2 linked regions of the Caenorhabditis elegans genome follow. The protein of the gene in region 1 purifies or fractionates together with the protein of each later gene. This does not show direct contact. Each region holds a gene or a part of one and is shown in the gene's direction. Other genes may lie near its edges.

Region 1 (5,855 bases):
GAACTGATCATATGGCAAAAACCCGTAAAAGGGGTGAACTCGAGAGTTATCACAAAGTAATATACTCTAAGTTTCTGACGTAAAATGTTTATTTTAGGCAGCACATCAACGTAATAAATGTGTTGAGAAAGCAGGTGATCGTGGGAACTTTGAGAGGAATTGTTCAGTATTATTCGGTAACTACGGGAGATCTTATGTGTGAGGTAAGAATAGTTGAGGGGGAGGGAATCGGAACTTAACAGAAAATCAGGTGAAAAACTTTGGGATAGCTCAATCGGGATTGATTAAACAATAAATTCACTTGTGGGTCATCCTCAAGGCAATTAAAAAAAATCGGTAATGGTGGCCGCTAGCAATCTGGAGGTCACAAGTTCGAGTCCGGACTCGCCCCGCTAGGTTCATCCAGCCTCTATTGGGAAGTGAAGTAATCCAAGACTATCAACCACAGTCTCCGGCTAGGACGTGGCCTAAATTGTAGCCCATTGGGATTACCACCAGCCAGTGTACCTGACTCCCAGATATGCAGTGCATAGTGCTTGAAGAGCCCTTTATGGAAACATGACTGAAAACTCGGGCTTCTTCTCGATACTTTTTCTATTTTCATGCTTGTGAAAATGTTGCTTATAATAATTTCTCACAGATAAATGCTCATTCAAGACCAGTGAATAGTGTTTCTGTCGCACCGGAAAGCGCATATGTCTTGACTTCTTCCGAGGATGGCACTTTTATCGTTTCGAAGCTTCACACAAGAAAACCACATGCTTATCAAGTTAGTTCACAGAAAGTCGAGAACATTTAGGTATACACAAAAACTCAATTTCAGGTTGAATACCGTTTCTCTGACAGCGATCCGTCCAACGTCATCATGGGAGCGCAATTCACAAATGGACGCGGGAGTGCAATTGCAATTGCCGCATTTGATAGCAACGTCTTGGTGATGTACAAGATTATCAAGAAAACTGCTGTACCTGCTACATAATTATATTTTACTGTGTATCTTCAATTAATATATCTGTATTTGGCTTTTAATATGTTTAATAACAAAAAAACATTACACTCCATGTAGTCTATTTTGCTAGCAAGATTTATCTGTAAAACTAAGATCTGAGTTGTCAAAGCATTGCTTCGCAAGACTAATAATATAATAATTATATAATTTCTCAAAAATGTATTATTCTTTTAAATTCTGGCATTCGATTATGAATTCTCTGTGCATTCTCTCTTTTTCCATTTTGAATGAATTCCATCAATATTAGTAAATGAATGAACTTGTTATTCTTTTATGTGTTTTCTAAACAAAACAGGATTCTGCTAAAAAATGTATACTAGCTTCAAAATATTGCTGTAAAAATGAAGGTTTTATTGATTCTAACTCATGAAACACTCCAAATACTAGAAATCCCGTATTTCCTCTGTTAGTCTGGCACCCCTACGGACCAATTGAAATTTAGTCTTGCATGCAAGACTAACAGAGGAAATACGGTATACATTTCTAGAAGTTGAAACGTCTTAAAAAATAATTTCTCACTATCAGCAATAGCCTTTAAAACACAATTATACCCTATTTTCCCAAAACTGACAAAACTGACATTTTTTAACCTGAAAATTTTTGATTATGTTCTTATTCGCTTTGTCAAGTTGAATAAATTGAATATTATCGTTTTTCTACAAAAATAAATATTCATAATTTATTGTTCCTCCTCAGTCAGCTAGTTATGTTTAGGACAGCTGTTCAACATTCTGCCCCTCCACTCTCTCTCTAGTTCCTCTTGACGCGTAGTGCTATTGATTTATTTTTTGGCAACATGAAAATGAAGATTTTATAGAATTTTTGCATTTTATAAGTACATTTGATTTTGAAAAATAAGGGAAGTTATATTTCGACTGTATTTTTATATCGAAACTCCAATGCCAATTTATTTTCTTGAAATTTATTTAACTGTTGATTTGTTAAAATTTTCAATATACCTAATCAGAAAGTTTTCATTTGAATTTTGAAATCTTAAAATTGTATTGTTATATTTATATTTTAATATTTATTCAACACAACAATTTTGTTATCCCAATACCTCCTGGCCTAGGTTTCTCCACGACACAATGTGTCTCTTCCATTTCCTCTGTTCAACCCAATAAAACGTGGATTCCACTAAATTCCGTCACTGCTTATCTGATTCATCTTTTCTCCTTCCGTCAGAACTTTACACAACACGCTTCTTATTTACCAGCTTTTGTCTGTTCTATTTTACCTTTTTAGTCAGTTTCAGGCACAATGAATGTTAATTGGAAAGAAGCAATACTTCAAGCACAAAAACGAATTGATCAGGTGTTGGATATCAGGCCAGAAGCAGCCGAGGTTGAAGTTGATGTGCCAGATGAAGTTCATGCTGAGCAGGAATGCTCATCTCCGTCACAAGGGTCCGAGCCATTAGCTGACGATATTGTTATGTTGGAACCTGTTTTACCGCGTAAGTTTTTCTTAAATTTAAATGAATAAATATTAATAATTAGTTCCCGTTTTCTAGCATTTCATAATAATCGATATATTGGAGATGATATTCAAACAATTATTTCATCGGACATTGAACATTTAACAAGGTAAGAATTATGTAAACATAACAATAATCTGACCATAATGATAAATTTGTGGATGTATTGACTATAATTATGAGTGCACTAACCCAACTTGGATTATGCACTGACCAACTTGACAGTTGCACTGACCAAGTTGACAGTTGCACTGACCAACTAGACAGTTGCACTGACCAAACTAACAGTTGCACTGACATTACTGGTAGATCTACTGACTAAAAGAAAACATAACTTCAGAGCATCTTCACGGACAGCGTCACCGGATCGATTACGAATAATACCAATGGAGTTTGATACGGTGAGTAGCTACATTAAATGACATCATAGTATACATAACACACAGAAAGTCACTTTCGCTAAGACAAGACAATGATCTGATCTTGAACAAGGTATCAGGGAAATCCTAGACAAGATGTGAAGCGGCAGAAACTAGATTTAAATTTAGAGTGATGGAATTTTAGATTGTGATTTGAATAATGATTTTGTTTCGGGGCGAAGTCTCAGAGCAAGTCAGGGATTAGAAAAACATCAAACTTTATCAGATCGGATCCCAATCCGTTTTGAAATTTGTAGAACGTTTTTCAACAAACAATATACTAGTAAACAGCAAAACTTAGTAATCAAGTACAATACTAATTATCATTTTTCAATACATATATTATTAAAAATTACAGGATATCTCAATATCGAGTGTTGTGAGCCCCGCTGCAGCTCTGACACCTGCTCCAGCACCGGCTCCAGCTCCAGTTGCTGTGCCAGAAGTAACATTACCAAATCCTGAAGAAATTCTCAACCAAGCAATTTATGGATTGCGGAAGGAACTAACGGAGTACAAAAAAGCAAATCAATTCTTACAACACAGCCATGCAAATCTTGAGAGAGAAATGGAGGAAAATAGATTTTCCGTGAATGAAAAAGTTGTGAACATGCTTAGTGAAGGTAAGAAATACTTTTTTAGAAAATATAGATTCAATGACTAAATTTTTCAGAACGGGATCACTTTCATCAAGAAATCTCAAATCTCAAACATACTTGCTCCCAATTAACAAAGGAGAAAATTGAATTAGAGGAAAAGTACCAAAATAGCACAGATTCGTGGCACAGAACTCAAGATGTACTTCAATATTTTAGAAACCAGGTATTTTTTTTGAAAAAATTTTGAAAATTAGGCTATTGTCTTAGATCTCACAAATGAAAGGTGCGCTACAAAAAACAGAAGAAACATTTATCAGTGATTTCGAAACTTTTGGAGCAGAAATTAAAAGAAGCTTGGAGAATCAAGCGAAGAGGAAATCCTCATCACCGAAGATTATACAATTACCCTGTAACTGTGAAAACAAGTCTCGGGAGCAAACGAATCAAGTCGTCAAACATGATGAATCTACACAAACTAAATCAGTATACATTGATGTGAGTTTTTGCTCTAATGGACAATTTTTTGCACAACCGTACTCGTAAATCAATGTTTTAGGAAAGCCATCGGTGGGAGAGAGAAGAAAAGGAAATCGCATCTTCTCCAAATGGCAAGAACGGGAATGTGACCGACCTTCTGCAGATAATTGAACAATTAGAGATGGAAAAGAGACTTCTTTTGGCGCAGAGACGAAGTGATAAAGCGGAAATTGAGGTGAGATAAAAATAAATCGTTTGGGCAAATATCGGTTTTTGCATATTAGATTAATTATTATTTCGGAGGTTAATACCGCCATCTAATCTAAATACACGCTGAATAGTCCAGCACGAGAAAAGATCCTATTACGATATTTAAATTTTGTTTAGATGTTTCAAAGTTTTAAATTAAAGTTTTTATAAAATGACAAAATTATTCAAAGATGTGTAATTTTTGAATGATTTCGAGCATTAATGCAGGTTTGAACACTGAAAATATTTGAATATGATTAATTGACTAGCGGATATATGGGCCCGCCAGCCCTTCGGGAATGGGGATAGGGTTAATTCGCTTTAAGTTATTAGCAAGGTAGCTGGCGCAGGTTCTCGGCTTCGCCTCGAACCTGTTAACGGGTTATTCGAGATCTCTTTGAAATTATTTCAGGAGTGGGGTATATGTTTAGAAAACTTGACTATTCAGGTTTGAGGCTTCGCTCGAAGCTCTTACTGTGTAAAGTGAAATCTCTTTAAACTTCGATTCATTGCTCCAGGGCCGACACTGTACGAATAACTTAGGCTGAGATTTTGTTCAAGAATAATTTGAATGTTTTCAATAAAATAAGCGTGTTTTCAATCATCACTGTGAACTACAAAAAAACGGTGAAGGAAAAGGATTACAAGTGATAAGAACTTCCGAAAATCCCAATTTTTTTCCCCAATTTCAAACAGCAATCCAATTTTTTAGAGGCTGCAAGAACAACTCAATGAGACCTTAATCATGCATGGTGAAAAGATCGAGCAACTTGATGAAATCCTCGTGGACAACGAAGAATTGAAAGATATTTTGAAGCAACAAGTAAGTTGGATCATCGAAACAACAAGATTTTACTTCCCTTTTCAGGCGTTGGCTCTCACGGACAATATTGCACAATCAGATGAAAAGGGTTCTACATAGCATTTTTCACAAGTTTATTCAATTGATTACTAATTATGTAGATTTTATATGTGATATTCAGTTGATCCGAAATGTCTTTTTTTTAGTTTTTGATTCCGATTTGGCTTTCAATTTGAATTTTTTGGTTATTGAATGAAGGGTTTACTTAAAAATTACTTTTCAGCCAAAGAACTATAACAATTTTTGTTTTTTGTAGTTAACCTGGCCCAACAGTATATTCCAATACGGTTTCCATTCATTTCTTCTGAAAATGCTGAATTAATCCAAACGGAAAACTGATTTCCATTTTAGCTTAATATGAAGAAAAAAGGTTGCCCACGTATATTACACAAGTACCGAAATTTAAAAATTTTGAAAAAAAAAACATTCACCAAAAATATTTCTTGACAAAATTTAGAACTCACTAACAGTTGTCTTTTTTTTTATTCATTTGTTCGGATAAGACTTTGATAGTGAAATCATGAAATGAACATTGTTTGTTGGTTTATTTATTAAGAGATAATGACGACGAGTGTATACGATAGGAAGTTAGAAAAATAAAAGTTAGAAAATTTGAAGACAGAAATAATATTAATCTCTGGGCATGAATTCGTTGGAAAGTCTGCGCTGTGAAAAAATTTCGAATATGGTTTTTTTAGTTGTGATCAGAATGGTCGGATTGAAGGGAAGAGTGACTTCTGGATGGAGATAGGCCCTGTTCGTC
Region 2 (3,642 bases), about 13 Mb from region 1:
CAACTGCGAGTCTGCAAGGGGAATGCTCTGGCCGTGGATCCGATTGAATTCCAGTTGCACATTTACACTGCAACATTGCCCCGCTGCACACGGCTTCGCAAAAAAGTTGTCTATGTGCAACGAGACGGAAACCAGTATGGACACGGTTTGATCATGTACAGCTACACTGAGCCCGGAGCTGTGCCACAGCCAATTCAGAAGACTATTCAACCTTCGACTGATGAATGGTTCAGCAGCCTTCCATCAAACATCAGAGAGGATGTGTTCCATTTGCTGAAAACTGCCCCAGTAAATGAAACAGCGAAGATAATTCATCAGGAACATGGAATTCATATTAGTCCAAATATGTTGTTCAGTCTCAAACGGCGAGAACTTTCTGGTTCTCATGCTGACAACGACACTTTTGTCACTGAATGGACCGGAGCTGATGGTGCAGGACCATCGACATCGGCTAAAACTGAGACTGTGGAAGAGGTGGTGATTGAAGAGCAAATTCCAAAAACAATCATGGGTCACGAAATGATGATTGGAGGAGACATGATTGTCGAGCACATTGAAGAAGTTGGAGACGTCTATGGGCAATCAATGATGAGAAGAAATCCATTTTTGGAGAAAAGCGTGGTTAGTGTTTGTATAATTGATTCGTTTTTTAAATTCTCAATTTTCAGACTACTGCTGGATTTGTTCGTGGATCTCAGCGATATGATGCTCTTTGGCGAATTGCGCAAAAACAGTTTGGTTCGGAGTGCATTGATGACACTTTTGACAGCTTGTTCCGACTATTATACGAAAAGAACGAGCAGCGCTTGCTCCAAATGATCAATGAGACATTCCACGTGGACATTTTCTCTGGCGACCAAGAGATTGTGGAGGAAGGTGTCGAATACATGCAAGAAGAACTTGTTGTGCATCCTGGTAATCATCTTGTCGGACACGAGGAACTGGGAAGACACGAGGAACACATTGAACATCCTGAAGTACAAGGCCATTTGGAACATGAAGTTATTGAAGCCCCAGAAGATCCTATGGTTTAAAATTATGATTAACTGGAACAGACATTGTTCGAAAAATCATATAACTGTAAATTAAATTGATCTTATAATATTGTTTTACCCTTTAAAATCCGTGTTATGTCATATCTATCTATTATTCCGTTTTACACCAAATGTTTTTTGCCACTATAGAATGACAAGGTGATCTTTTTTCTGTTCTCAGCAAATTGAAAATCAAACATAATACACTGACACAGATGAAGTTATAATAATGCATAGTAGTTTAAAAAAAGGTATTCGGCTGAATATCTGAATAACAACATTTTAATGTAAGGTGCAAAGCATGGATGTGCGGCAAATTTGCCAAACACGGTAAATTTCAAAAAAGTAGATTTGCCAAATTTTCCAAGCTCCGTAATTTTTTATGTTTGCCCCAGCTGCAAAGGAGCATACAACCCCCATGAAAACCAGTTATTGGTCTGTATTTTCACCCGAAACAGAAACATCTGAAAGGTAAAATTTGGTTAAGCAAATCCCTAATGTTTCAAGTCCGTTACTACAAACAACTCTGTGACCTAGATTCCAGGTTCTGTAAAAAATTTCAAACACGTCACTTTATGTGCAGGGTACTCACCGGTCTTCAATGATAGCCATTTATTTCAAAGAAATTGAAAAAAAGTCAAAAATTAAATCAAATGTATTTCACGCATTCACGTGAAATGTCAGTTTTGAAATAAATCATTTCTTAATTTTAAACTTACACTTTCCGCGGTTTTCTTCAAACTCTCCCTTTTCGATTTGTTTGAATTTCTCGGTTTTTCTATAGTAAATGTAATTTTTTTGAAATGTTTATTTTAGCTGAAAACCTAAGGGAAATTAGTTTACAATTACTGTATCACGTTTTCAGATGGTTGATTTGGTAGGAAAAGTTGTCAAAGAGTACTATGTAAGTTACTTAATTGGTGAAGGATCGTATGGAAGTATTGTTGCTGTAAACGATATGGAAGAACTGAACAAAGAAAAAGTAATTAAGCTTGTTAAATTTGTTCACGGGAGTCAACGAGAAAAATCATTCAAGACGGAGCTATCAGTTTTTCGCAAACTGGACTCTCTTGGTAATTCAAAAAGAAATGGATTTCCCCAATTTTGTGAGAATTTTCAAGTTGACGGATATTATGCAATTGGTGAGTTTCACCTTGTCCGATAACACTTAATATTTGTTTCAGTCTTAAGCGACGAAGGAGACAATCTTAATGACATTAGAAAAAGAAACAAAAATTTAGTTTTCAATCGTAAAAATGTCGCGACAGTTGGATGTGCAGTCTCCCGTTCCTTGAGTACTCTTCACTCCATTGGCTTTTTCCACGCTGATTTGCACGAACAAAATCTGATGGTTCCGGTTCCAATTGATAAGGTTATAATATAATTTTTTCAAACATTTTTATGTAGTATCCGTGCCGAAAAATCAATATTCCAATCAATTTTTGTTTCAATCAACAGTTTAATCAAAACGTGAGGTTAGAAGGCTTCGAAAATCATTTTTTTTCCATTTTTTTTTCAATTATCAACTTTCTATATTTTTCAGATTAATCCAATAAAGCTTATTGATTTCGGATTGAGCAAAAGATTCAAAACTCGAAAAAGGCGTAACTGCATCGATAAAACGTACAAGGTACTACTTGCTGATGAACGACGTTGTTCATTCAACATCGCTTGTGGCGGTGATTATCGAAAAAGCGACGACTTTGAGAGCTTATTTTATATTTTGCTTATCGATCTAGGATTAAGCTGCTACCGGGAAAACAAAGCACAGAGATTTCTGACTAAGCTTAAATTGGTTAGTTAAATTGCAAAATCTTCTATTGTTTTTTAAAATTACATTTCTCAGCACTTTGCCACTGAAACATTTCTCCAAAACTTGCCATGGATGACTATTGTATTCAAATCGATGCGTGCACAGAATGATGACGACTTTAACGCTGAAATCATGATAAAAGCGTTGAAAGAATCAGTTGAATTGTTAGAGGAGGAAACGTTGGACTACACAATTGATGATGGACTGATTAAGATTAACTGAACGCCGTGTATTGATCTTTTTTGTGTATTGAATAACCTACTTGTGAATAAACAAATGTGCTGAAGTATTCTTGTGTTTCAATTTTATCAGCAAAACATAAGTTTGAAAGATAATTGAACTGCTTCTCATTAAACGCCGTTTCCCCTTTATCATAGTTTTTTCAATTAATTTTAATACATATTCGAAAATTGTTTTGCAGTTTTTCCAATTTGTGTTTACGAGCATAATCTTTCGAACCAATACTTGATTTTTCAGCTGTCTAATTTTTTATCGAGTTTTATTGGCATAGTGGTTAGTATTTTTCAGTTGGTAGCGTTTTCAAATATCAAACTTTTTTGGTTTCTGTATTTATTCCACGAGTTCAGTATTTCTGATGCGTTGCGATTCAGGAGTTTTGAATGTGGAAACTGAAGCTAACATCTGTAGCAACGAAAAAATTCAAGACGCATTGGTTAAATAGAAAACCCGGCTCAACATTAGCAAATAAGACTGAAGTTTAATAATTTTGTCGGGTGTTACCCGTTTTCTTCTTATTTTTCATCAAAGGCAAGCTCTTTTGTCATTCTGACACGC

Evidence for each region. The genes of interacting proteins can lie anywhere in the genome.
Region 2: the proteins of F39H12.1 (region 1) and F16B12.7 fractionate together in Caenorhabditis elegans (co-fractionation; one large-scale study listed by BioGRID). This does not show direct contact.

The regions. Positions count from the first base shown.
Region 1 is NC_003284.9:832,520-838,374, forward strand, and holds F39H12.1 (Pericentrin), read left to right. Parts: upstream 1-2,258; 5' UTR 2,259-2,269; coding exon 2,270-2,465; intron 2,466-2,522; coding exon 2,523-2,595; intron 2,596-2,826; coding exon 2,827-2,887; intron 2,888-3,263; coding exon 3,264-3,528; intron 3,529-3,578; coding exon 3,579-3,727; intron 3,728-3,771; coding exon 3,772-3,999; intron 4,000-4,060; coding exon 4,061-4,216; intron 4,217-4,942; coding exon 4,943-5,053; intron 5,054-5,098; coding exon 5,099-5,152; 3' UTR 5,153-5,302; downstream 5,303-5,855. Other genes in the region: wdr-54 (WD repeat-containing protein 54 beta-propeller domain-containing protein), read left to right, coding at 1-56, 98-203, 641-769, 824-979; F39H12.3 (RIIa domain-containing protein), read right to left, coding at 5,787-5,855.
Region 2 is NC_003284.9:14,106,646-14,110,287, forward strand, and holds F16B12.7 (Protein kinase domain-containing protein), read left to right. Parts: upstream 1-1,899; coding exon 1,900-2,176; intron 2,177-2,218; coding exon 2,219-2,406; intron 2,407-2,577; coding exon 2,578-2,829; intron 2,830-2,880; coding exon 2,881-3,069; downstream 3,070-3,642. Other genes in the region: F16B12.6 (DUF7747 domain-containing protein), read left to right, coding at 1-621, 669-1,034.